Linked DNA regions of Cricetulus griseus. The protein of the gene in region 7 binds, or shares a complex with, the protein of the main gene of each other region. Links are inferred from orthologs where the notes say so. Each region holds a gene or a part of one and is shown on either strand. Other genes may lie near its edges.

Region 1 (3,396 bases), on a different chromosome or scaffold from region 7:
AGAGTATGTGATCAGGTGAGAGCAACTAGAATAAAAATGTATGGAATATCAATTTCCTCAAAGTTCTTGCCTTTCTCTGTTATTCACCTGATCATAGTCAAGGAAAAAAAAAACAACTATTGTTTAGTTTTCTCTGTACTTCCAAGACTGATAGAAAGTACTTAACTGACCATTTCTTACAATGTATTGCTGGTATGCTGCAAGGGGCTTTATACATTGTGCTGCTTAACCCTCAGAACCCTTTGAAGTAGGTAGCTACTAGCTGTACAGATAAGGAAGCCACATCTTTTCAAGTAGAAGTAGAAGTACTTGTAGAAGTGCTTGTTCAGTTCCTGACAGGCAGGCTTTAATCTCAAATTCACACTCAAACAATTACATGGCCTTAGCTCTTGGGTAGTATTGTTAACAGAAACATTTGCAAGGGCACTGTACTGGTTCTTGCTAGACAAAATGAAGCTAAAGAAGCAGCTGACCACTGGCTGGAATAAAAGGGAAGAAAGATTTCAGAAGTCTTTTAGTTCAGAGTTTCAGGAGAATACTACTCTTTATCAGTCTTATGAAATGTGTATCTGATTTTTAATCTTGTCATTCAGTCCTCCTTCTTCTTGTCTTTTTAGAGGCACCCAGATGGTGTGGCCTCTGTGTCCTTCAGGGAACCAGAGGAGGCTGATTATTGTATTCAAACTCTTGATGGAAGGTGGTTTGGTGGCCGTCAAATCACTGCTGAAGCCTGGGATGGGACTACAGATTACCAGGTAAATCCTGCAGCTCTCAAGGGCACAGGAACTGTTGCCTTGTCAACTGTAGATCTAGTTTGGAGGTTGCTTTAATCTGTTTTGTATAATACATCTTGTAAATAATGTTTTGCATTAGAGGATAGAGAAATTCTTATCACTTCTCAGCTTGTAAGTCTTTAATTTGGAGGTTTTAACCTCAGAATGATAAGAATAGAAGAGTGCTAACTATTCCTCATCTTTCTTGTTAAAGAGAATGTACAGAGCTCCAATAGTAATGTTTTAGGAAGTGGAACATTTCAACAGTACTGGGATAGTCACATATATTTATATGATTTTATTGCAGGTATATTGTGTGTAAGGTTGTGTAAACAGGTATATAGTTTTGAAGACCAGAGTAAGGACATGCATGGATTGCTTTAGAAAAGTTGCTTTATAGAACGAGGGTACTTGTGTCAATAGTAGAACTTCCCAGAGAAGTTGTTGCTTCTTTTTGCCTAACATTCATCTTAACCGTAGTCTCTGTTTATTCACAGGTAGAGGAGACCTCAAGAGAGAGAGAGGAAAGGCTGAGAGGCTGGGAGTCCTTCCTCAATGCCCCTGAGGCCAACAGAGGCCTCCAGCGGATGGATTCTGTCTCTGCTTCAGAACAGGCAGGGCCTTCCAGAGGAAGGCATTTTTCAGAGCACCTGAGCATGTCTACCACAGGTGCTCAGGAAGCTACAACTGGAATAGCACTTGAAGAGCCTATCGATGAAAAGAAGTTTGAAAAAGCAGAAGATGGGGGAGAATCTGAAGGAGATGCTTCTGAAAAAGATGCTAAAGAAGGTGGGTACGAGGAAGGTTACCCTGAAAGAGAGGGTGAAGAGGGCTCCTCCAAGATAGAGTGTGAAGAGGGCTGCCCCAAGACAGAGTATCAAGAGGGCCACCCCAAGAGAGAGAGTGAAGAGGGCTACCCCAAGAGAGAGAGTGAAGAGGGCCACCCTGAGAGCAAGCTTGAAGAGGGGAATCCTAAAATGGGATCTCAAGAGAATGGCCCTGACAGAGAATCTAAGAAGAAAGGCAAAGATAATTATGAAAAGAATGGCCTGGCAAAAGAGTCTGAAGACAATGAGCTCAGCAGAGAGTCAGAAGGGGAAGAGAGCCTCAAGAAAGAGTCTGAAGATGATGACTCAGAGGAAGAATCCAAGGAAGACTGCCCAGAAAAGCTGTATGAAGATGACTCTGACAAGGAATTAGAAGAAAATGGTGTTAAAAAAGATTTCGACCAGGATACCTCTGACAAGGAGTTCCCTGAAAATGTTGAGAAAGAGTCAGAAGAAAATGACACTGACAAATCAGAAGGTGATGAAGGCTCTGAAAGAGTGTTAGGTGAGGAAGGCTCTGAGAGAGAATTTGAGGAAGACTCAGATGAAAAGGAGGAGGAGGAGGAAGAGGAGGAAGAGGAGGAAGAAGACAGAGAAGAGGAAGAAGTTGTATATGAAAAGGTTTTTGATGATGAGTCTGATGAGAATGAGGATGAAGAAGAAGCAGAAGAAAAGGAGTGTGAAGATGCTGATGACAAAGAGGAAGAAGATGACACAGATGACAAGCTCTTTGATGACTCCGATGAAAAGGAAGATGAAGAAGATAGAGATGTAAAGCAAGATGAAGATACCAATGACAAGCTATTTGAAGATAATTCCAATGAGAAGTTTTTTGATGAAGAAGAAGATGCCAGTGAGAAATTGTTTGATGATTCTGATGAGAGAGGGACTATGGGGAATGTGAAGGAAGATGGGTCTCAGTCCACCGACAGCAGCTTTGCCCTCAGTAGTGATGATGATGATGAAATGTAATCCTTTCCACTTGCTTTTTAGGGAGAGCCCTGCGTCTCTGTTTGCCTGTGCTTCAGGATCAGTAGTAGTGTTACATCAACAAGTGCATAGTGGTAGGATGCCATCAGACTAATGTCTCGAAGGTTTTTGTTCTTACCTATAACAATGAATTTAAATGTGTCTATTGGTTCTTCAGTTAAAACTTCATAGTTTAACGCAAGGAAACTGGATACCTGTCGTTTTGTTGGATTTGTTAAATGCATGCAAAAGAATATTTTTAAAGTATCCTAATTGGAGTTTGTGATATTCAGAAATAAAGATAAATTGATAATATGCAGAAACTGAGATGTGGACTTGAGTTGATATGTGTTTTGAATCAAATATCACTTGATTCCTCCCACAGTCCTTGTTTCCACCTGTGTCACCATTTGGGATAACCTTCCCCATTCTGCAGTACAACATGGTCCTAAAGTCACAAGATAAATGACATTTTAGATCCTTTCCCCAATCCTTGGAAGTTACATGTTATCTTTTTTACTCTTTCTATTAAGACTAAGATGTATAAACTGAATTCAATGTGGTCTATACCTTCAATTATTGAAAATAGAAGGTAATCAGAGGTTGACTATGCTGGTTTAGAAGATGACTAAAGAGATGAGTTCTCTCTCCAGAACAATGTACGCACAAGCATTACACAGCTTCTTATATACAGTTTGGAGAGGCCCATGAATTCCTCTGGAGATTAAGAACTTTCTCCCTAGGAATATACTTTGTGTTTTGTTTTAGAGTCACAGTTCCTAGTATTGTACCATGTCAGATTGCCCCAATACAATTATGAATCATCC
Region 2 (3,582 bases), on a different chromosome or scaffold from region 7:
CAGGCACAAGGGCTCTGGGGGACTGCTGAGAGGCCAGATCCCATCTTCAAAGAAGATGAGGCCCCTGGTGCTGGTGGCTCTTTTGAGGTCTTCTTTGAGGGTCTTGGCCTGTAACACAGTGCCCATGGTCACCAGCAGCAGCACTAGTGGAGAGAGGGGTGGTCCCTGCATGGTAGAGCAACAAGGGCTGGGAGGCCCTGCTTATATGTTTGGCTGAGCCAGAGTGCTTGGGAGGGACACCCCTATCAACTCCGGAGGTGGAGGTGACCTTGGGGGACAGTGCCTGGTGCCCTGTGTGCACAGCAGGTGGGAGGTGGCTTTCTCAAAGGGTTTTCTGTCCTCACAGCCAGGCCCACAACTGCAGAGGCTAGAACTGTCCTTGGGTAGTTCCCATCTGCCTAGGGAGTCCACCTGGAGGACTCACAGGTCATCATGCCTTCAATGAAGGCACACAGCACCCGCCCATACCCCCCACCACAGACACACACTGCAGACAGGGAGACATGGGGGAGGCTGTTTAATGGGCTCAGGACAGGACAAAACAGAAAACTTTTCCAAGGACTGGCCAGGAAAAGGCCACACACAGGCAGCAAGGGATGCTGGGGCCAGTGTTCAGTTGCCTGGGGGAGGAGGAGGCATGCTCCCAGGGCCATCTGATGGGAGTGGGGGCCTTAGCATGGGGGGCATAGGAGCTGGGTGCACACCAGGATTTGAGGGGTGAACCCCTGGAGGCTGAGGGTGGACCACAGGGGTGGCAGGATGGACCCCAGGAGGAGGCTGGGGATGCACCCCAGGAGCCTGAGGGTGGATACCAGGAGCTGGGGGGTGCACCCCAGGGGCCTGAGGGTGAACTGCAGGAGTAGGTGGATGTACTCCTGGAGCCTGAGGATGAACTCCAGCTGATGGGGGAGGGTGGACCCCTGGAGCTGGTGGGTGCACACCTGGAGCTGGTGGGTGCACACCTGGAGCTGGTGGGTGCACACCTGGGGCTGGTGGGTGCACTCCAGGGGCTGGTGGGTGCACCCCAGGGGCTGGAGGGTGCACCCCAGGGGCTGGTGGGTGCACTCCAGGGGCTGGTGGGTGCACCCCAGGGGCTGGTGGGTGCACCCCAGATGTTTGTGGGTGTACCCCAGGGGCTGAGGGGTGTACCCCAGGGGCTGGAGGATGGACCCCAGATGTGGGTGGATGGACTACTGGGGCTGGTGGATGGACCCCAGGAGCTGGTGGAGGCATCTGGGGAGGTCCAGGGGGCCCAGCGGGAGTAGGCCCTGTGGGGGGCATAGGGGGCAAAGGCAGGCCACCAGGCGGAGGTGGGGGCAAGGCATCCGGCAGTGGAGGGCGAGGAGGCAGGCCATTCATGAGTGGGGGTGGGGGCCGCTTGACGCCTGGGGGTCCAGCTGGGAGACTGGGTGGGGCCGGTGGCTTTTCCATTTTAAAGTGGAACTGAAGAAAAAACTGCAGGGGAGGAGGGTCAGAGGCTGGAGGAGCAGGGGGGGTGGGGGTAGGGGAGTACCCAGGCAAGTCTTGCCACACCTTACCTGCTTGGTCTCTCGGTTCCAGTGGGTCCAGAATTTGCCCTCAGCCTTGTCAATCTCCCGGCTTGGCACCTGGGGGAGGGAAGCAGAGGCTGCACCCTGGGACCAATACAAACAGACAAACCTGAATTTATCTTTCTCCTCCAGTCCTCAGGGTCACTACCTTGAAGGCAATGGTCTCATAGGGCTCAGCAGCCATGAGTAGGTACTGCCAGCGGCGGTCTGGGGGCTCTATCCTCTGCTCATAGGCAGACATGAAGCGGTGGCGTGGCATGATGCCCTCAGCAATCTCAGGATAGTCAATCTGGGGGACGAGCACAAAAACCTTAGCACTACCACCTGGTTGCCTGGCCCACCCCTCACTGGCCTCACCTCACCTGGAACAGCAGGCTCTGCTGGCCCATCTCTGTGTCCCTCTGCTTAGTCACTGCAACACACAGGGGACGGGGCTGTCATGTGTCATGGGTGCTTACCAGAACAGGTTTCCCCTTACCAGGCCTGGCCGCTCTGCTCCTTGGCCACCTAGCTAGGATCCAAGTGAGGGCAACCCACCCAGCACTGTATGTAGGGACAGTGTGGACAGCCCTCTGCAACACTATGTCACAGCTTTCCAGTACCCTGACTGTCAATGGTGACTCTTGGGGCACTTGGCTCCCTGTTGGCCACATGACTGGCATTTTGGATAGGCCAGGTCACTCAAGGCCCCTGCTGAGGGGCTCTGGGAGCACTGACTGCAGACAACCTGCCTCCCTTTCCTCTTCTGGAAGTTTCTAGTGGGGGATGGGTGCTTATCTGCCAACAGTCGGTTGCTGAGGACAGAGGAAGCAGCAGCTGAGTGTCCTAGAGACCAGTGTATCCTGGGTCAGGGATACAACCATTTGTCTCGTGGGCAGGCCGCCACACACCCACACCCACACACCTTTGTAGCCAGGGCGGCCAATCTTCACAAACTTCTTCACCTCCACCTTGACCTTCTCGGGTGCTGGCTGTGCAGGGGCTTCCTTGGCCTCCTTGGCAGCTCGCCGAGCCCTACAAACAGGAAACACAGGTGTCCCTCTACCAGCCGCCAAGGCCAAGAGCCCAGTTGTCAGAACCCCCTGGCCTTGGAACTCACGGACAGGATGAGGGCTCAGCCCTGGAGTATACCAACCAGTCTCCCCGACTGTCCTTGCTCCTTAGCCATAAGCTCTGCAGTGGGCCTTTCCCTCCCTCCCCACCAAGCCACACCAAGTGAGGGCTCACAAGTTAGTCTGATGTTTCTTCCCTTGGGTGTGAGCCAGGTAGCTCCCCTGCAAAGAGAAAAGAGACACATCACTAAAGGTGGGGAGGGCAGGACAGGCAGGGCAACTCTTAACAGCGTCCAGCATGGGAGCCTGCAGGGGATGCACAATGTCTGTGGCTACACTGAGGAGACATGCATGATACTCTCTTTGCCTCCCTGAGAAGTTCTATGGTCAGGACCAGCATACACACCGAAGGTCTATAGTGCTGGGGAGCTCCCAACAAGGGGTGGGAGGCCTAGGCTACAACTCCTGGGCATCCTGCCCAGCTGTGTCAACCTGACTCCATTGTCAACAAAGTCAAATGCATCCCATTTACTGCTGATTGGTCTGGTCATCCAGTGAGAGGGTAGGGAGGTAACTTCCTGGATTAAGAATGAACCCCAGACGGGCATTGGTGGCACACGCCTTTAATCCCAGCACTCGGGGGGGCAGAGGCAGGCGGATCTCTGTGAGTTCGAGACCAGCCTGGTCTACAAGAGCTAGTTCCAGGACAGCCTCCAAAGCCACAGAGAAACCCTGTCTCGAGGAAAAAAAAAAAAAAGAACCCCAGAGAAAAAGAACCAGTTACATCCCTTCCCTGTGGCTGGTAGGCACCCATCACTTGTCTGTGGGGCATTCGCAGATCAAACAGCTGGCTCTTGTCTTGACATCAAGGCCAGTAAAAGAAAAGGGCAAAAGGATTAGCTGGTCTCCAGGCCACCTTCAGTGCAGGGTCAGGCAGGAGGCAGAGCAAGAGGGCCAGGAGGTCCTGGCCTCATAAGAGC
Region 3 (3,500 bases), on a different chromosome or scaffold from region 7:
AGAGAGGCTACACTCTAGTGATCTTGAAAACGGTTTGGTAGTGTATTCTTTTTTTTGTTGTTGTTTGTTTGTTTGTTTTCGAGACAGGGTTTCTCTGTGGCTTTGGAGGCTGTCCTGGAACTAGCTTTTGTAGACCAGGCTGGTCTTGAACTCACAGAGATCCTCTGCCTCTGCCTCCCAAGTGCTGGGGTTAAAGGTGTGTGCCACCACCACTGGCGGTAGTGAATTCTTGATCCTAGTACTTAGAAGGTAGAGATAGGTCAGAAGTTCAAAGTCATCCCTGTCTCCATAGTAAGTTTGAGACCAGCCTGAACTATATAAGACCCTGTTTCAAGTGAAGTTTCTATAGGAGAATTGATTGCCACATTCTTTTCTAACAGAGGAAGAAGAAATGGAGACAGATACTCGCTCGTCTCTGGGACAGTCAGCATCAGAGACCGAAGAGGACACCGTGTCCATATCTAAAAAAGAGGTAGGTGATGGAGCTTGTCCGGAAGGGTTCCACAGAGAGCGGGCTTGACCATGTGCCAGTTTCTGTCCTGAGCAGCTTTCGGGTCATTGCTTGTCACAAAGCCCTTTAAGTTCTAAGTGCTGTGGATTCATTCACACTGAAAATGATGCAGCTCCAGGATGCACAGCAACTTACCTTTGAGAGGCAAAACTTTGACATCTTCCATGTTTTTGTGAAGACTCAGTGCTAAAGTAGTGAAGGCAGGCATGTGGTAAAGATTCTCTGACTGAGGTAATTTTCCTGTCTTGGTAGAAAAATCGCAAGCGTCGTAACCGAAAGAAGAAGAAAAAGCCCCAGCGGGTGCGGGCAGCATCTTCAGAGAGCTCTGGGGACCGAGAGAAAGAATCAGCTCGTTCTCGAGGCTCTGACTCCCCTGCTGCTGATGTTGAGATTGAATATGTGACTGAAGAACCTGAAATCTATGAGCCCAACTTCATCTTCTTCAAGAGGATTTTTGAGGCTTTCAAGGTGCGAGGAGTGGTATGCCCTGAGTGAACCGCACTTTGATGTGCATGTGATGGGGTGAGATAAGACTTGGGGGGATGCGCTGGGTGTTGGTGGCACACACCTTTAATCCCAGCACTCGGGAGGCGGATCTCTGTGAGTTCAAGACCAGCCTGGTCTATAAGAGTTAGTTTCAGGACAGCCTTCAAAGCCACAGAGAAACCCTGTCTCAAAAAAAAAAAAAAAGACTTGGTGGGGGGGGATAGTTGTTTGCATACAGGAGTCAGAAATGGAGGTGTGTCAGAAGAATGGGATTCCAAATGGTCTGTCTCCTCAGCTCACTGATGATGTGAAGAAAGAAAAAGAAAAGGAGCCAGAGAAACTTGACAAAATGGAGAACTCTGCAGTCCCTAAGAAGAAGGGCTTTGAGGAGGAGCACAAGGACAGTGATGATGACAGCAGTGATGATGAACAGGTCAGGCTCCCCTCAGTTGGAGAGGGATGCAGGGCACAGGTAGTTGAGGTGTTTCCCTTAGAGACTATGGTTAAGGGCTTTCATGGTTTAAGCATTGAAGTGGACTGGGCAGTTTTGATTCCCATCCGAGGCCCACCTAAGAGGTTTCTGTATTCTAGGAAAAGAAGCCAGAAGCCCCTAAGCTGTCCAAGAAGAAGTTGCGCCGAATGAATCGCTTTACTGTGGCGGAACTCAAGCAGGTTAGACCTAAGATGACCCAGCTGGACCTGGAGCCTGACTGGGAAATTGTGAGATGCACCCAGCCCTGCTGAGTTTACTCTAGAGGGCTTACAAGGAGGTGCTTTTATGGATGCTTGGTTTAGGTGTCTTTTTAGAAAGAGAAGACAACTTTAATCAAGAGGTGGGTTTTCTATTGCACTTTTCAGCTGGTGGCTCGGCCTGATGTTGTAGAGATGCACGACGTGACTGCACAGGACCCTAAGCTCTTGGTTCACCTCAAGGCCACCCGGAACTCCGTCCCTGTGCCACGCCACTGGTGTTTTAAGCGCAAGTACTTGCAAGGCAAACGGGGTATCGAGAAGCCCCCCTTTGAGCTGCCAGACTTCATCAAACGCACAGGCATTCAGGAGATGCGAGAGGCCCTGCAGGAGAAGGTGAAGCCAGGCTGGGGCACAAACCTGAGTTTAGCTACCCATACCCTTTGTATGTAGCAGCCTGCCTTAGAATTGGACTTACCACCTATTTATTACTAGTCTAATGAACCTTTTTCTAGATTAGAAGTCAGCACTGTAAGTAGACCTTGAGTCTGTGCTTAGAGTACCACTCTTGCTAGTTTGAGGTTCCTGGTCCTGAATAGCAGCTTTCTTCCTTTCTCTTCTTCCCTCCTGCATTCACTTGGTCAGCTTGCTGTTTTCCGATGCACTTGTAGCTAGAGGTACAAATGATGCTTGTCTTAGTTGGGCTACTATTACTGTGATAAAACACTGACCAAAAGCAGCTTGGGGAGGAAAGGGTTTATTTCAGCCACAGTTCCATTATAACAGTCAAAAGCAGCGAGGTCAGGAACCTGCAGGCAGGAGCTGATGCAGAAACCGTGTAGGGTTACTGCTTACTGGCCTGCTCTATATGGCTTGCTTGGCTTGCTTTCTCTAACACCCAGGACCGCCAGCCCAGGGATGGAACCACCTACAATAGGCTAGGCCCTCCCCCATCAATCACTAATTAAGAAATTGCCCTGCAGCAGCAGCTTTCAACCTGTGGGTCTTGGTCCATTTTTGGGAGTGTGAGGGATGAGAGTGTCAAACTACCCTTTTACAAGGGTCACCTAAGACTTTTAGAAAACACAGATATTTACATTACAGTTCATAACAGTAGCAAAATTATAGTTAGGAAATAGCAGTGGGAATAATTTTATTGTTGGGAGGTCACTGCAACATGAGGAACCATATTAAAGGGTCATAGCATTATGAAATTTGAGAACTATTGCCCTACAGGCTTTTATACAGCCAGATCATATGGAGGCATTTTCTTAATTGAGGTTCCCTCCTCTCAGATGACTTTAGCTTGTGTCAAGTTGATATAAAACTGTCCAGCACAACCGGGCGTTGGTGGTGCTTGCCTTTAATCCCAGCACTCGGGAGGCAGAGGCAGGCAGGATCTCTGTGAGTTTGAGACCAGCCTGGTCTACAAGAGCTAGTTCCAGAACAGCCTCCAAAGCCACAGAGAAACCCTGTCTCAAAAAACCAAAAAAAAAAAAAAAAAAAAAAAAAAACCTGTCCAGCACAATACTTCTGTAAATTTTTAAGTTTAAATGTTTTAAATAAATAAGTTGAGTACTAGTTGTCTGTGATTAAAAAAATTTAAGTGGAAACCGCCTTCCTTTTAGCCTGTAGTCATACACTCCTGTCTTTCTTTTAGTTTTGGATTATTAACTTTTTTTTTTTTTTTTTGGTTTTTCAAGACAGGGTTTCTCTGTGTAGCTTTGGAGCCTATCTTGGTACTTGCTCTGGAGACCAGGCTGGCCTCGAACTCACAGAGATCTGCCTGCCTCTGCCTCCCGAGTGCTTGGAA
Region 4 (4,028 bases), on a different chromosome or scaffold from region 7:
TCCAAATACCATCCTCTCTCAGATCCGTTGAGACTGCTAGCATTCTCGAAGGCAGGGCAGAGGGAATGTGGAGGGAGTTCTGCTCATGTTTCTTTGTATCTGACCTCAGTGTTTCAAGCTTTCACATTCCAGCCCATAAAGGAGCTCACTCCGTGAGTGAGTTTCTGTAGCAGACATGGAGCTACCAACCTCCAGCTATTTTTGTTTCTCTGGAATAAGAAACAAAACCACTTCAGAACGTTTCCTTTTTTTCTCTGGCAATTCCATGCCGTTTAGATGACAAACTGTCAAAACTGTGAGATCAGAGACACTTCATCAGTTCCAACAAGATGCCCCAGAGACTTCATTCTCAACCCCTCACACTGCTTTGAAATCCAGTTTCTTAGTCTTCTGTGGGAATGAGGGAAATAAGGGAGACACCCTGTCCTCCCACTGTATATTTTTGTAGTGGTATTTCTATTTAAGGACTTCATTAAAGCACAGTATTTCTACACATTGCTGGTATTGTTTCTTGTGTTGAATGAAGATCTCGGTAAAGTGGTTGGGGGAGGGTATGCACTGAGAGAAAAGCACCCAGATTATTGATACAGAAATTAAGGACCCAGTTCGAGGCCAGCCTGGTCTACAAGAGCGAGTTCCAGGACAGCCTCCAAAGCCACAGGGAAACCCTGTCTCGAGAAACAAAACAAATAGATAAAAAAGAAGTTAAGGACCCAAAACAGGAGGGGCTATTCCGACGAAATTTGGAGAAAGAAGCACCAACCCCTTTTTTTTTTTTTTTTTTTTTTTTTGAGACAGGGTTTCTCTGTGTAGCCCTGGCTGTCCTGGCCCGGGAGGAAGGCTCTCTGAGTGTCTCTTCTGTGGGAGGGGAGGGATGCACGGTGCTGCCGAGTGCTCCCGAGGCTGAGACTGACCGTGAACACACGCGGCACCGTGCCTCAGATGACCCCACGAATAGTGGGGCTCAGACACTTCCGTCTGCACTGAGGTAACAGGCTGCGTCCCGAGGCAGCCGGCCCGCCCCTCCCTCCCCCCAGCACGCTTCTCTGCGTCACAGAACATACAAGGCTGAGATTAGGGCTTAAATTTGGGCTGGGGAGCAGCGGGACTGCCTGACAGGCGAGAGCCGCGTCGTCAAGAGGGGCCTGAGCGCCTCGGCGCCAGCCGGGCGTCGTGAGAGCTCCACCACAGCGTCTTTCCAGACACGCGTCAGACGCCTAAGATGGCCGCGGCCACTTCCGGCTCCTCCCCTGCCGCCCGCCCCGCCCAATGGGAGCCTTGGCCCGGAAGTGGAAGTCGTAACAGGTCAGAGGGCGGTGCTGCCGCTTAGAGACGGCGGGAGCCTCTTCGCCATGGCTGCCGGGCCCATCTCCGAACGGAATCAGGGTAATTGGGGGAGAAGAGCCCAAGGTGGGCCCAGGGAGGTGGAGGGCAGATGAGTGCTAGAAGCGTTAGCGCCAGCGTGGGAAACTAGGTTTCCCCGGGAAGGCCCGCGTCTGGGGGCTGGGCCTGGGGGCCGGGTTGAGGCCGAGGCCTGTGAGGGTGATGCCTCTGGATCCGGTTCCCGTAGGCACTCCCGCTGCTACCAAGCGCATCATTGAAACTCCACCGGGAAGTACACAATCCGCAAGAACGCCACATTAGACTTGAGCGGGTTTTTTTATACTAGGCAGGCAAAGGGTGATCTCAGGGTTTTAGTTACTTTTTTTTTAAATTTCTGTTTTCCTTTTAACTCGTGACCTCGTCCTTACCTTCTGCTTTCTTGCTTTAGATGCCACGGTGTACGTGGGCGGTCTAGACGAGAAAGTGAGCGAACCACTGCTGTGGGAGCTCTTTCTCCAGGCAGGGCCGGTGGTCAACACCCACATGCCAAAGGATAGAGTCACTGGCCAGCACCAAGGTGAGTATTTACGGCAAGAAATGACTTTACTTTGGGTTAGCGGCCCCTGAAGCATCTCAACACTAGTCACAGCTATTTTGGAATGGTTTCTTTCTCTAAGCTTCAGTTGGCAGTTTGTTTCAGGAGTAGTCTCTTAGCTTTAGTTTGAAGTTGGGATTCTTCCAACTTGTTCTTTGTTTGGAGGCTGGTGAGTTAGTGTGTCGTTTTGAATCTCTTCATCTGAGTAGTCTTTTCTTCAATTCCCCAGGCTATGGCTTCGTTGAATTCTTGAGTGAGGAAGATGCTGACTATGCTATTAAAATTATGAACATGATCAAACTCTATGGGAAGCCCATACGGGTGAACAAGGCTTCAGCTCACAACAAAAACCTGGATGTAGGGGCCAACATTTTCATTGGGAACCTGGACCCAGAAATCGATGAGAAGCTGCTTTATGATACTTTCAGCGCCTTTGGGGTCATCTTACAAACCCCCAAGATTATGCGGGACCCTGACACAGGCAACTCTAAGGGTTATGCCTTCATTAATTTTGCCTCCTTTGATGCTTCGGATGCAGCAATTGAGGCCATGAATGGGCAGTACCTGTGTAACAGACCCATCACTGTGTCTTACGCCTTCAAGAAGGACTCTAAAGGCGAGCGCCATGGCTCAGCAGCTGAACGACTTCTGGCAGCCCAGAACCCGCTGTCCCAGGCTGACCGTCCTCACCAGCTGTTCGCAGATGCACCCCCTCCACCCTCTGCCCCCAATCCTGTGGTTTCATCCCTGGGTTCTGGGCTTCCTCCACCAGGTAAAGCTTTTAGTTCAAACTACACCAGTGAGAGGCCCTTGGGAGGGAGGGTCAGAAGGCAGAAGAAACCCTGAGGGAGTAAGCTGTTAACTCAGCGGGCAGCGAGAAAGGGATGAGGAGTGCTGGTGGAAGGGATGCAGATGTTGGGTTTCTTTGGGAGACTGGAGTTTAGTGTGCTGGAAGGAAGCTAGAGCTCTGTAAGACAGTCTTTCTTTCTTCACAAGATAGACTCTCGTTTCTTGTATAGGCATGCCTCCTCCTGGCTCCTTCCCACCTCCAGTGCCGCCACCTGGAGCCCTCCCTCCTGGGATACCCCCAGCCATGCCCCCACCACCTATGCCACCTGGGGCTGGAGGACATGGCCCCCCAGCAGCAGGAACTCCAGGAGCTGGGCATCCTGGTCACGGACACTCACATCCTCACCCATTCCCACCAGGTGGGATGCCCCATCCAGGTAAGTGGTCTGCTGGGAAACGGAGATGAGCTTGTGAGAGTGATTCTGTCACTGCTCTTTGTCTTGGGTGGAAATAGTCTAGAGTCTCCCTTTCCTTCAGAAAATACTTCTGTGTGTACTTCAGCTCCCTCCCGTCTTGTCTCTGGTTTTTCCTTTTTCTGCAGAATAGCCTGTTCTTACTGTTTTTACTCTCAGCCTCTCCTCTGATTCCCAGGAAGGAGCTCAGTTGCCAGATCTAGGCGACATTTTTGCTTATTTTTTTTTGTTGTTGTTTTGTTTTAGGGATAAGGTCTCTCTGTGTAGGATCCTGACTGTCCTGCAACTCATTCTGTAGACCAGGCTGGCCCTGAACTCAGAGATCTGCCTGCCTCTGTCTCCCAAGTGCTGGGTTTAAAGGTGGCACTACCACTGGGCAGCCGTTTCTGCTTTTTGTTTTTGTTTTTCGAGACAGGGTTTCTCTGTGTAGTTTTGGAGCCTATCCTGGCACTGGCTCTGTAGACCAGGCTGGCCTCGAGCTCACAGAGATCCTCCTGCCTTTGCCTCCCGAGTGCTGGGATTAAAGGCGTGCACCACCAACGCCTGGCCTGTTTCTGCTTCTTAACCACTACTATACACATGACGAGCTATGCATGTATTAAACTGTTTCCTCTATGTGACTTATCAACCTCAGCAACCTGGGTCAGCCCCCTTTTTTGTCTGTGTAGATTTTGTGCTTTGTTCTTCTTCCAGTGTTTATTTGTAGTGTTAAATGTGCAGGTACTGATTCCTTCTGTCTCTAGTCCATGGTTCTTGACAGGCTAGACAAGGCTGCTGCTCAACCCACAGTTCACTTTTCTCCTTCCAGCATCTCCTTCTACAGCCCTTGTTTGTAGCAGCTAAGTTCA
Region 5 (2,646 bases), on a different chromosome or scaffold from region 7:
GTTTATTTATCTATTTTTGTTTTTGGTTTTTCGAGGCAGGGTTTCTGGCTGTTCTGGAACTCACTTTGTAGACCTCTTCAGACCTCAATCTCATAGAGATCCACCTGCCTGGGCCTCCTGAGCGCTGGGATTAAAGGTGTGTGCCACCACTGCCTGAGGCATTCTTAATGGCACTGGAATTGCACTAATTTTTGATTTATTTCTTACTAACAGAATTTTCATGCAGATTCTACTTGTCTTAGTTGAAGTTTCTCTTGCTGTGACAGAACACTATAATTAAAAGCAACTCAGGGATGAAAGATTTATTTCATTTACTCTTCCGTATCACAGTTCATCATCTAAGGTAGGCAGGGCAGGAACCTGAAGGCAGGAGCCAATGCAGAGGCCATGGAGGGGTGCTGCTTAATGGCTTACTCTTCGTGGCTTTCTCAGTCTGTTTTCTTATTCAATTCAGGACTACCAGCCCAGGGGTGTCCCCACTGTAATAGGTTGGGCCCTCCCCTATTATCAGTCTCTTTGACTGAGATTGCTCTTTGTCCATTCATCAGATTTTTCTTTTAAAGAATACGATCTCCATCAAGCTATATAATATCCTCAAAGGATATCAGAAAAGAAGTACAGTATCTTTTTCTCAAGTAGTTTATACCTTTGTGAGGAGATACATAACCTCTAAGTTGAACATAAGGTGTAACCAGGCAGAAAAACAGAAGGAGAGAGTACTTGTCTTGAGACACAACTGACTTCCAGAAAATGATTGTAAGCAGCCTTAAAGTTAGGAGGTTGTTTGGTTGGAGGGCTCGGGCCCCTGGGTGGTGTGAGGAGTTGGAGCCTGGATTTTGATGTGGAAGACACCTGGTGTTGACACTCATCACCAAGCATTTAGGACCCAAAGAACTTTTCCCACTACCCAGATCCTAAGGGACAAAGCTGGGACCAAGGGCGGTCCGTGTGAGCTTCTAGGTACAAGAGATAGTTTTCCTGGTCACTTGTAGTCGTAATCGTTGGACACCATCCTACATTAGTCAGGCAAAAAAAAAAAAGAAGAAAAAAAAGGAAGGAAGGAAGGAAGGAAAGGAGGGAGGGAGGGAGGAGAAAGAAAGAAAGAAAGAAAGAAAGAAAGAAAGAAAGAAAGAAAGAAAGAAAGAAAGAAAGAAAGAAAGAAAGAAAGAAAGAAAGAAAGAAAGAAAGAAAGAGAGAGAGAGAGAGAAAGAAAAAGAAAACAAAAAACCAAACCAAAAGAAAAAAACACGCCAAATTCTTTGGACTACAAATCCCAGAATGCAACGCCGGAGTTAGAACGTGATCACCCAAGAGCCACTCAGCAGACCATCATGCAACGCTCTCCAAGTAGGCGGGCTCGCTGAGGGGACGGCCCAATGTTTCTTAGGCAACTCCAATGCCGCGGCAGGATTCACTTCCGCTTCCGCCTGGGAGAAGAGCGTCTGCGCAGGCGCCACAGTGGCGTCTTTCTCCCGCGCCTACACAGATAGAAGTTCCGTGTCGGGCCGGCAGCGGCGGCGGCGGCGTCTCTCAGGTTTGAACGCGGAGCGGGTAGCGTCGGGTCTGCGGCCTGATCTGGAAGCCTAGAGCGGAGCGGCGAGATGACGGACCGGTACACCATCCACAGCCAGCTGGAGCATCTGCAGTCCAAGTACATCGGTACGGGCCACGCCGACACCACCAAGTGGGAATGGCTTGTGAACCAGCACCGGGACTCCTACTGCTCCTACATGGGTCACTTCGACCTCCTCAACTACTTCGCCATCGCCGAGAACGAGAGCAAGGCCCGCGTGCGCTTCAACCTGATGGAGAAGATGCTGCAGCCCAGCGGGCCGCCGGCGGACAAGCCCGAGGAGAACTGAGGCGAGCGCTTCCCAGGCTCCCCCGCCGGCCAGCGGTGGGCCGGTCCTCCTTGCTCGGGCTTCTTCATCGTCTGTCACGCCTGGCCTGCTTACCTGTGGACGATTCCGAACAAGTCACCGAGAGACTGTCGGGACCCCCGGGAACTGTGCGGGAGGAGCGACCCTAGACCCGGCAAGCGAGGGAGAAGACGCCACGGGAGTGATGACGCGTTTCTAATGAGTCTGCCTTTCAGTAGTTGGTTGTCCTTCTTGCCATGTTTATAAAGTTTAGGATTTGTCCTATCTTTTGGTGTGGATTGCTGTGTTCCTTGGGTGGGGTCTGGGGAGGGTGCTGTGGACCAAGGTCTCAAGATGTTGCACGTTGCATCTGTTTTTCTTGAGAGTTAGTCTGTGTGTCTTCAGAAATGAAGAACGGATTTTTTTTTTTCATTCAGTGTTCACCAGAGCGTTTTCCAAAGGTTTGGGGGCATACATTATGCCAATTTGGAGAAAGGCTAAAATAGACCAGGGCTAGATGATGCAGGGAGATTGAGGAAGCTTGAAGAATTCGCAATTTTAAATACTATGCTTGTAATGCTAAGATATTGCGATGATGACATTTGAGAAAAGATTTTACGGAATCCAGAGAAAAACCGTGCAGAGCATGGGAAGTTGCTTACCATCTAATAGGGCATTCGTTGGTGTGTTTTAAGTTACTGAAGGAACACCAAAAAAGCAATGAGTCGCTGGGAGTGGCACACACCTCTAATCCCAGCACCCAGGAGGCAGAGGCTGAAGGATTTCT
Region 6 (4,167 bases), on a different chromosome or scaffold from region 7:
CGAGTGCTGGGATTAAAGGCATGTGCCACCAACGCCCGGCTCCCCCAGATGTTTTTAAATAGGAGATTTATTGAGGTTATAATTACCATTCACTTTAAGTGCTACAACTCGATTTCATTTTAGCAAAGTTGATAGAATTGTACAAATATTGCCACCCTCAAAAGGATTCATTCCTTCTGCTCTTTTTAAGTCACTTCTTATCCCAACCAACCCTTCTCTCATCTTCCCTTTGTCTCCATGGATTTGCTGATCCAAACATTTCATGTGAACACTGTTTCTGTTGTTTTTTTTGTTTTGTTTTGTTCCTGGTTTTTCAAGACAGGGTTTCTCTGTGTAGCTCTGGCTGTCCTGGAACTTGCTCTGTAGTCCAGACTGGTCTCCAACTCAGAGATCCACTTGCCTCTGCCTCCCTAGTGGCAGAATTAAGGGCTTTTACCACCACCACCTGGTGTTTGTTTATTGTTTTGAGATGCTCTCTTACTACAAAGGGCAGGCTGAGCTTGAACTTGCTCCCTTCCTGCCTCAGTCTCCCAAATATTAGAATTACAGGTGTGAGCCACTCTACTTGGCTCCAACTCTGTTCTCAGTGCATGCTGGACAAGCTCTTTATACTGATTCAGATCTCAAGTCCTAATCTGTGTGTTTGTTTCCTGAGTCCCAGTCTCTCCATGTAGCCCTGGCTGTTCTGTAACTCACTATGTAGACCAGGCTGGCTTAGAACTCACAGAGATCTGTCTGCCTCTGCCTCTGGAGCGCTGTTAATCTTTTTTGCTTCTTCCTCTTCCTCCTCCTTTAAAGAAAGGCAGCCTAGATCTCATTTTCTAAGCCGTACAGCCAGCACATGGTAGGCAGAGGCAGAAGAATTAAGGATACGGAGAATCAGAGGTAACCCTGTACTGAATAGCAAGCATTTCATTGCTTGAATATACCACATTTTACTTAAAGAGCCCTCTGCTGATAAAGGTTATTTCCACATAGGAGTTAAGAACAAAACCACCTCCTCACTTTACTGACAGATACTAAAGTCCAGACAAGGAGAAAACACCAGCGGTCACACCCTGAAACTAGAGATTCCAGTTCCTCTTTCCCTTCTTGTATCCTTCAACTTCTCAATCCCGGTCCACATCAGTGAGTCTTGCCGGCCCAGCTGGCCACAGAGAGCCCCAGGCAGCAGTTGCCTCTCACCCTCCGCCTACAGCATTTTTGCAGGCATTCAGTCGCTGAGCATCGCTCCTCCACACCTCCAGCCAGCGGGGGGCAGTGGTACCGACAGCAAGGACTTGCTCTCCGTGTGGTGTTCATTTTTTGAGGTCCCCCAAGGCACTTCCGGAACTCACGGAACTTTGGTGCAGCCGGATGCAGCGCGTTGAGAGAGAGACGGAGGCGCACAAGGCGGCAGGCGCTGCTTCCGGCCGTGTTGGTCGTCTGAATTGAAGCGCCGCGGCGAAGGGAAAATGGAAACAATTTTGGAGCAGCAACGGCGCTATCATGAGGAGAAAGAACGGCTCATGGATGTCATGGCCAAAGAGATGCTCACTAAGAAGTCCACGGTGAGTGGACCGTGGTCGGGAACGCATCCGGAGCCCCTGAGCGCTTTCTTCGGCCTTAGACCCTCCCCGCGCCCCATCTTCGCCTTCCTCCTGGGCTGCCTCTGCGCTCTGGCCTCGGTAACATCCTCCGAGGCCCCAGCAGTCCCTCTGCTTCAGCTCCTGAGACCTAAACCAATAAACTCGTCCTTCGGGTGGCCTTTCCAACCCCCGAACTCAAACTAACAGCATCTGTTTGCCTTTCTCCAGCTCCGGGACCAGATCAATTCTGATCACCGCACGCGGGCCATGCAAGATGTGAGTGCCCCGCTGTCCGCTTCCTTTTAGGTTGGGCTGGGCGGGGAAAGTGCTGGCAGGGAAGGTGCGGAGGCTCAGCGTGAGGACTGCTTGTAGGTGCTGAGAATACCCCGTCTCAGGTTCTTAGACGTAAGTCCTGTCTCTGCCTCCACATGCTGGCATTAACGGTGTGTGCCACCACTCCCCACTCAGGCTGTCTAGAGGAACTTTCAAGAGCTCGTATCTCATGAGGTTTCCTTGGGCTTGGCCAAGAAAGCCTTCGTTGTTTATTTAGCCCTGTCGTTGTACAAATTGCTTCATTCTGATGGATTTGTGTTTGCCTTTCAGAGATACATGGAGGTCAGTGGGAACTTGAGGGATTTGTATGATGATAAAGATGGGTAAGTGACAGTCACATACATCCCCTCAGCAGGTAGAGCTTCTGAGGCGGCATGGTGAGAGGATTGGCTTTGTGCTTTATACTCTTCGGGTTTGTCATTATTTTGCAGACTTCGAAAAGAGGAACTCAATGCTATTTCAGGACCCAATGAGTTTGCTGAATTCTATAACAGACTCAAGCAGATAAAGGAATTTCATCGGAAACACCCAAATGAGGTATGGTCTCCTGAAGTATTTCCCCAAACCTACCCTAAAATAAGAAAAGGTGCAAGGAAAATGGGGGTATGCCATTCAGATGTCACTCCAAGAAAGGGCTTGCCACTTAACTGCAGTGAGCATAGTTAGCTGACATCGTTCCTGACATCTCTCAGCCAGTAAAGGAACACAGTGAAGGCACGAGGGCCTACTTTTTTCTTTCTGATGAGAAATGATTAATTTTTGCTCCAGAGTTCTTTATTGGCTTCATTCAGATTTTGTCTGCATCATAGTCTAGACTCCTTATCCAAACTTACTTTCTCCTTTTTATCTTTCATAAGAATTCTCCCCCACCCAATACACTGTGCTCCTAATTCTGCCTTGAAATCTTCTACCAACACAACATCACTCTGCTCACTCCAGAGTTAATGAACACCTTCAGGATTCATGTCCAGCACCAACTCCTTTATCATATATCTTTTCTGCTAGGCGGTGGTGGTGCAAGCCTTTAATCTCAGGGATCAGGAGGCAGAGGCAGGTGGATCTCTGTGAGTTCGAGGCCAGCCTGGTTTGCAGAGTGAGTTCCAGGACAGGCTCCAAAGCTACACAGAGAAAACCTGTCTCCAAAAAAAAAAAAAAAAAAAACTTTCCTAGACTATCTCTTCCAATGCAATCCTTCCTTAAGAGCCCAGATTTTGTGGTAATGACTGCCTTCCAGTTATACTAAGCAAAGCAAGAGGAGAACAGTAGTAAGCTCCTGAACACCACAGGGCAAATCAGGTATCAGAAGTCCAGTTCTATGCATGCATGAGACACTGATCCACCTGCGCTTTCTCCTTCCCCCAGATCTGTGTGCCAATGTCAGTGGAATTTGAGGAGCTCCTGAAGGCTCGAGAAAATCCAAGTGAAGAGGCACAAAGTAAGTATGATTTAATGTTTCTTTCTGAGAAATTTGAAGCCATCCTGGGCTATATAGCTAGAACCTATCTTCTCTCTCTATCTTTTTTTTTTTTTAAGCCTTTATTTTTATTTTGTCTGTATGGGTGTTTTGCCTGCATGATACCTATAGACAGTGTGTGTGCTATGCCTGAGGAGGCCAGGAGAGGAAGTCGTATCCTCTAGGACTGGATTTTGAGTACCATTTGGGGGCTGGGAATCAGACCTGGGTCCAGGTCTAATATATCTGATATCATTTAAATCAAAAAGTTATGGACAGGTGTCTTTGTTTTGTTTTTGTTTTTCTTGTTGTTTTTCTTCCTTAACTATTGAGCCATCTGTCCAGCCCTTTCTTTCTTTGTTTCTTTGTTTTTCAAGACAGGGTTTCTCCTTGTAGCCCTGGCTGTTCTGGAACTTACTCTGTAGACCAGGCTGGCCTAGAACTCAGACATCTTCCTGCCTCTGCCCTCCCCAATGCTGAGACTAAAGGAGTACCCACCACCGACTGACCGACTGGCATTTATGTTTGTCTGGTTTTGTGATTTTTTTTTTTTTTTTTTGGTGGTGGTGGGTAGTGGTGGGTTTTTTTTTGTGTGTGGGGGGGTGTTTGTTGTTGAGACAGGGTCTCTCTACATAGCTATAGCTGTTCTGGAACTCACTATGTAGATCAGGCTGCTCTTGCTCCCATGTGCAGCTGGCCTTGAACTCATGATCCACCTGCCTCAGCCTTCTGAGTGCTAATTTTAAAGCAATGTACGGGGTAATGTGGAGATTAGATCTGTGTACAAAAATTAGCTCAGTTGGTAGAATATTG
Region 7 (4,135 bases):
TGTCCATTGACATTCAGTCACTATTAAGAAAATATTTTTTAAACTCTAAAACCATCGACATGGCAGTTGCCAATCTCTGACCTGAATTAGCTATTGTCTGGACCCCTTGGGACTTGAAAGTAACACAGTGAAGGCATAGTAATAAACATCAGTTTAATGGAGAAAACTAGCCTGGATATGGTAGATTTTTTCCCCTCACAGAGAGAACCCCCCACCCCCCACCCCATCCCCCACCCCCACCCCACGTGAGCATAGATTCTAACTTCGTGGTCTTAACCAGTAAATAGCTTGCTGTAAGGAGCAAATGATGCAATACCTGTAGGGTTTGACACAGGATCTGGCTTGTAGTAAATACATGTCCAACTGATCCTAATTGTCCCTGTTCTACATTGATAACAACGAAATAACCAGCTACAGTGGAGAAGGACCTTGGGCGTTTTGTTGCTGCCACATTTCACAGGTGAAGTGAGGCGGGATGAGCTCAGAATCCTCTTTCAGTATTCCGGAGTCAGGAGAGGAGAGGGAATGGGGACCTAGAGGGTCTCAGGAGAGAAAAGCAGGTGATTGGAGGCTTGTCTCCGGGAAGCGAGGGGCGTGGTCTGCAGGGCCGCACTGGTGGGAGTTTGGAGAACAGTTATGATTGGAGGAGGTCGGGCTTGAGGGAGGAGCTATGGAAGTTTAGGGTGCAACTTAGAAAAGAGGCCAGTAGGAAGAGACCCTAGGGAATTGCGGGCTTGGGCTCTGTAAGGCGGGGAGGTTGTGCTGAACAGAAAAGAAAAGGTGTGTGTGTGGGAGGGAGCTAAAGGTGTAGTTAGGTGGGACTTTAGTTGCGGTAAAGTCCCACCTTCTAAATTTTCCTTCTAATGGAAGGAAAATTCTTCAAAAGGACAGGTCAAGGAGGAAGAAAGACTGGAGTGAGGAGAGGAAGGTGCGGTGGCAGGGAGCGAGGAACGGACTAGAGTCGCCAGGGGAGTTCAGCGGATGATGTAGAATGGCTCACCTGTCTCCGGCGTCGCAGCCTCAGCTCTGTGTCGGGCCGGCTCACAGAACTTCCCCCGGAGCGCCAGTGGCTCCTGTGATCCCTCGAAACCCTTAGCGGCGCGCCCAGGCTGCTGCCATGGCAACGGAGTAGCGCGCCTCCTTGCCCGCGGGGCGGGGTGGGAAGTGCGCCACGGCCAGGGGGCGTGACCGGAAGTGTGTTCACTAGCTTCCGCGGCTTTTCTCTGGGTCGCCGCCATCTTCCCATTGCGTTGTAGCCTTCGTGTGGGGAGCTCAACCTTGCCGCTGCACCGGTTGTCGCCCTGAGGCGGACTGGCAGCCCTGAGCGTCGCAGTCATGCCGGCCGGACCCGTGCAGGCGGTGCCTCCGCCGCCGCCAGTAGCCACTGAACCCAAACAGGTACCGCGCCCCGAGCTCCTCAGCCTGCAGTCCCGGTGTAGGCCTCGTCCCTCCCCTCCCGCGCGGGCGCTACGGCACTCCCGCTGGAAAGTTCAGGCTGCCCTGAAGGGCTTGGAGGGACTGCAAGTCCCAGGAGTCCGCGCGCCGCGTTGCTTCTGGTCCCCCCCAAACTCCCCAGAGCCGAAATTCTCAAAGTAGCCTGTGGACTTACAGCCTCAGCTTCACCTGGGGGCTTATTAGAGTCATGAAGCCTCCACTGTAAACCCAAGTAGGAATATGTGTTTTAGCCATTTCCTAAATTATCTCGTTAAAATGTGAGAAGCATTGGGCCAGCCTGTTCACCGTCGCAGTGGAGCCTACCAGTCGCTTATCCTTTGTCTAGTAATCTCTCATTTCCTAGCCTGCTCTATTTTTTTGTTGTTGTTGTTTTTAAACACCTCCGAGGTGCTTTCCCTAAACCGGACAAGGTACCAGCCTTCATCATTACAGAATGAATGTGGCATAGCTCCTGCCTTAAGAGAGAGCCCAGGCTAGTGAAAATACAGATTTGCACAAATACTCAATGTTTATTGTCTTGGTCAGTGTAATGATAAAGTGTCAGGCAACCTTTAAAAGCTCTAAAGGCTGGGCATATGACACACATCAGAAATCCCAGCATTTGTGAGTTTGAGGTAGGAAGATCGTTAATTGAGTAGTAGTTTGGACTACAGGGTGAGACCTCAAAGCTCACAAATAGCTGAGGAGGAAGTATGTGGGTAAATAATTGCAGTTAAGTTGAATACAAGTAAACCACGAATTTAATCAGCATTACTTAATAAATGTAAGGGAAGTAAGTCCACAGGAGTGAGAGGTGAGTGGCTATTTTAGAAGAATGAATAGTGATGAAGATGGAGAATGAAGAGTGATGGGAAAAGGAAATTATTTATTCAACATACATTTATCAGGCACATACTCTATGCTTATTGTTGCTTTGGGTTCAGAACACAGTCTCAAACATGACAGAGGAGGCCCATGTTCTTACTCCAAACATTTATGTATTTGTGTGCCTATGTGTATTTTCCTTGACACTGGGGGAAAACAGACAAGGTGATACCAAATAAATATAGTTAAAAATAGTTAAAAAACCACCAAAGTAGGAATCAGGTGGTCCCTCTTTTGTCAGAGGTTCATGAACAAGTGTGGCTCAAATGCAGGTTCGGGATAATGGTGGTAGGAGATGCAGTTAGGATTTGAATATGTCCTTGAAGACTGGGAGATATTTTAAGTTGGATAGTGACATTTGTGTTTCAAAAATTTAGGCTTGCAGTGATCTAAAGAGAGAGGAAAGAGAAACAGTTATGCTATTCAAAAGACACTGAGGGTCTGATCTAGATTGGGGCAAGAGGAATGGGCATGTGATTGTCACAGAATGACTGTTGACATAGGTTCTCCGGCCAAAGTGATGTGCTAGAATCCTGATTCTGCCTGTAGGGGAAGGCACAAGTTTGTTATTCCCCTGTTGTCTATAATATGGGAATAAGAATACCTATTCAGGGGGCTGGAGAGATGGCTCAGAGGTTAAGAGCACTGAGTGCTCTTCCAGAGGTCCTGAGTTCAATTCCCAGCAACCACATGGTGGCTCACAACCATCTGTAATGAGATATGGCACCCTCTTCTGGCAGGCAGGGATACCTGCAGATAGAAAACTATATAATAAATAAGTAAATCTTTAAAAAAAAAAAAAAAAAAAAAAGAATACCTATTCAGGGTTGTCATCAGGATCCTAAGAGTTAATACAGCTCATGTGCCTGACATGTACTTTGTGTTTGGTGAGACTGAGGAGGCCTGGATTTCTGGCTTATGTGACTGGAAAACCATTCTAGGTTAGAGATGAAAGTGCCTTGGAGTCTGTTTAGTCTAAAGCTTGTTGGGAGATTGATTTAGGCAGAATTTTTCAGCCTAGAGTAGGGAAAGGAAATGTAGAATAGAGTTTTCAAGGGTGTCTGGGTGAAGATGGTGTGAATTCTGAGAAGAAATTATAAACATACATGTTTAGAGCAGTGATTCTTGACCTTCCTAATTCTGTGACCCTTTAATACAGTTCTTTGTCATGACCTCAAACCATAAAGTTATTTTAATTGCTATTTCATAACTATAATTTTGCTACTGTCATTAATTGTAAATATCTGATATGTAGGATTGTCTTAGGTGACCCCTGTGAAAGAAGGGTCATTCAATCCCCACAGGAGTCACAAAGTCACATCCCACAGGTTGAAAACTTCTGGTTTAGAGGTTTCCAGTGCTGTAGGTAGGAGGTAAAATACATAAGCCAGAACACATAGAGGCTCCTGAAGCTGTAGATGACTTTAGACAGTTATTTTTTACTTTGCCAAGAATATTTGAAATGAGCACTTGAGAGGCAGAGGCAGGTGGATCTCTGTGAGTTTGAGGCCAGCCTGGTCTACAGAGTGAGTTCCAGGAGAGTCAGGGGTGTTACACAAAGAAACACTGTCTCAAACAAACAAAAAGGATACTTGAAGTAAATGAACCAAATAGGAGATGAAATAGGAACTCAGTATGTTCAGCTGCCAGAGGAAGAACAGGGGAAGCAGCCCAAAGGAACATGCAGGCGGAGAGAAATCTTGTTTTTCTAAGATGAGATCTCAGCTCTTAACTGAGAGGAAGAAGATGGTGGATAAAGTACCAGGGATAAAACATTCAACTCCTTTGAAGCTCCATAAACCATTTATGAATTTAA

Evidence for each region.
Region 1: Sf3a1 (region 7) and Htatsf1 share a complex: the UniProt entries of both Homo sapiens proteins name them as parts of the 17S U2 SnRNP complex. The link is inferred for Cricetulus griseus from reciprocal best matches to the Homo sapiens genes SF3A1 and HTATSF1.
Region 2: Sf3a1 (region 7) and Sf3a2 share a complex: the UniProt entries of both Homo sapiens proteins name them as parts of the SF3A subcomplex of the 17S U2 SnRNP complex. The link is inferred for Cricetulus griseus from reciprocal best matches to the Homo sapiens genes SF3A1 and SF3A2.
Region 3: Sf3a1 (region 7) and Sf3b2 share a complex: the UniProt entries of both Homo sapiens proteins name them as parts of the 17S U2 SnRNP complex. The link is inferred for Cricetulus griseus from reciprocal best matches to the Homo sapiens genes SF3A1 and SF3B2.
Region 4: Sf3a1 (region 7) and Sf3b4 share a complex: the UniProt entries of both Homo sapiens proteins name them as parts of the 17S U2 SnRNP complex. The link is inferred for Cricetulus griseus from reciprocal best matches to the Homo sapiens genes SF3A1 and SF3B4.
Region 5: Sf3a1 (region 7) and Sf3b5 share a complex: the UniProt entries of both Homo sapiens proteins name them as parts of the 17S U2 SnRNP complex. The link is inferred for Cricetulus griseus from reciprocal best matches to the Homo sapiens genes SF3A1 and SF3B5.
Region 6: the proteins of Sf3a1 (region 7) and Sf3a3 are in contact, whole or in part, in an NMR structure (PDB 2DT7), measured with the Homo sapiens proteins. The link is inferred for Cricetulus griseus from reciprocal best matches to the Homo sapiens genes SF3A1 and SF3A3. Residues at the interface, in NP_005868.1 of Homo sapiens: Ala161, Phe162, Asp165, Val166, Leu169, Thr170, Phe173, Asn177, Phe181, Gln184, Leu185, Lys188, Phe195; in NP_006793.1 of Homo sapiens: Glu80, Phe81, Glu83, Phe84, Tyr85, Arg87, Leu88, Ile91, Lys92, His95.

The regions. Positions count from the first base shown.
Region 1 is NC_048604.1:15,372,653-15,376,048, reverse strand, and holds the end of Htatsf1 (HIV Tat-specific factor 1), read left to right. Parts: intron 1-617; coding exon 618-755; intron 756-1,270; coding exon 1,271-2,572; 3' UTR 2,573-2,896; downstream 2,897-3,396. UniProt on the Homo sapiens protein: Component of the 17S U2 SnRNP complex of the spliceosome, a large ribonucleoprotein complex that removes introns from transcribed pre-mRNAs.
Region 2 is NC_048598.1:101,584,551-101,588,132, reverse strand, and holds the end of Sf3a2 (splicing factor 3A subunit 2), read right to left. Parts: intron 2,825-3,582; coding exon 2,778-2,824; intron 2,565-2,777; coding exon 2,455-2,564; intron 1,963-2,454; coding exon 1,913-1,962; intron 1,840-1,912; coding exon 1,699-1,839; intron 1,608-1,698; coding exon 1,539-1,607; intron 1,456-1,538; coding exon 613-1,455; 3' UTR 501-612; downstream 1-500. Other genes in the region: Amh (muellerian-inhibiting factor), read right to left, coding at 1-171. UniProt on the Homo sapiens protein: Component of the 17S U2 SnRNP complex of the spliceosome, a large ribonucleoprotein complex that removes introns from transcribed pre-mRNAs.
Region 3 is NC_048596.1:54,027,587-54,031,086, forward strand, and holds part of Sf3b2 (splicing factor 3B subunit 2), read left to right. Parts: intron 1-380; coding exon 381-472; intron 473-763; coding exon 764-979; intron 980-1,292; coding exon 1,293-1,430; intron 1,431-1,588; coding exon 1,589-1,669; intron 1,670-1,855; coding exon 1,856-2,083; intron 2,084-3,500. UniProt on the Homo sapiens protein: Component of the 17S U2 SnRNP complex of the spliceosome, a large ribonucleoprotein complex that removes introns from transcribed pre-mRNAs.
Region 4 is NW_023276806.1:60,350,896-60,354,923, reverse strand, and holds the start of Sf3b4 (splicing factor 3B subunit 4), read left to right. Parts: upstream 1-1,228; 5' UTR 1,229-1,352; coding exon 1,353-1,386; intron 1,387-1,771; coding exon 1,772-1,900; intron 1,901-2,147; coding exon 2,148-2,690; intron 2,691-2,937; coding exon 2,938-3,144; intron 3,145-4,028. UniProt on the Homo sapiens protein: Component of the 17S U2 SnRNP complex of the spliceosome, a large ribonucleoprotein complex that removes introns from transcribed pre-mRNAs.
Region 5 is NC_048595.1:275,868,412-275,871,057, reverse strand, and holds Sf3b5 (splicing factor 3B subunit 5), read left to right. Parts: upstream 1-1,452; 5' UTR 1,453-1,601; coding exon 1,602-1,862; 3' UTR 1,863-2,146; downstream 2,147-2,646. UniProt on the Homo sapiens protein: Component of the 17S U2 SnRNP complex of the spliceosome, a large ribonucleoprotein complex that removes introns from transcribed pre-mRNAs.
Region 6 is NC_048595.1:28,350,622-28,354,788, reverse strand, and holds the start of Sf3a3 (splicing factor 3A subunit 3), read left to right. Parts: upstream 1-1,367; 5' UTR 1,368-1,454; coding exon 1,455-1,550; intron 1,551-1,796; coding exon 1,797-1,844; intron 1,845-2,171; coding exon 2,172-2,224; intron 2,225-2,332; coding exon 2,333-2,438; intron 2,439-3,263; coding exon 3,264-3,336; intron 3,337-4,167. UniProt on the Homo sapiens protein: Component of the 17S U2 SnRNP complex of the spliceosome, a large ribonucleoprotein complex that removes introns from transcribed pre-mRNAs.
Region 7 is NW_023276807.1:100,730,556-100,734,690, reverse strand, and holds the start of Sf3a1 (splicing factor 3A subunit 1), read left to right. Parts: upstream 1-1,335; coding exon 1,336-1,398; exon of another isoform or gene 1,399-1,432; intron 1,433-4,135. Other genes in the region: Ccdc157 (coiled-coil domain-containing protein 157), read right to left, coding at 1,001-1,246. UniProt on the Homo sapiens protein: Component of the 17S U2 SnRNP complex of the spliceosome, a large ribonucleoprotein complex that removes introns from transcribed pre-mRNAs.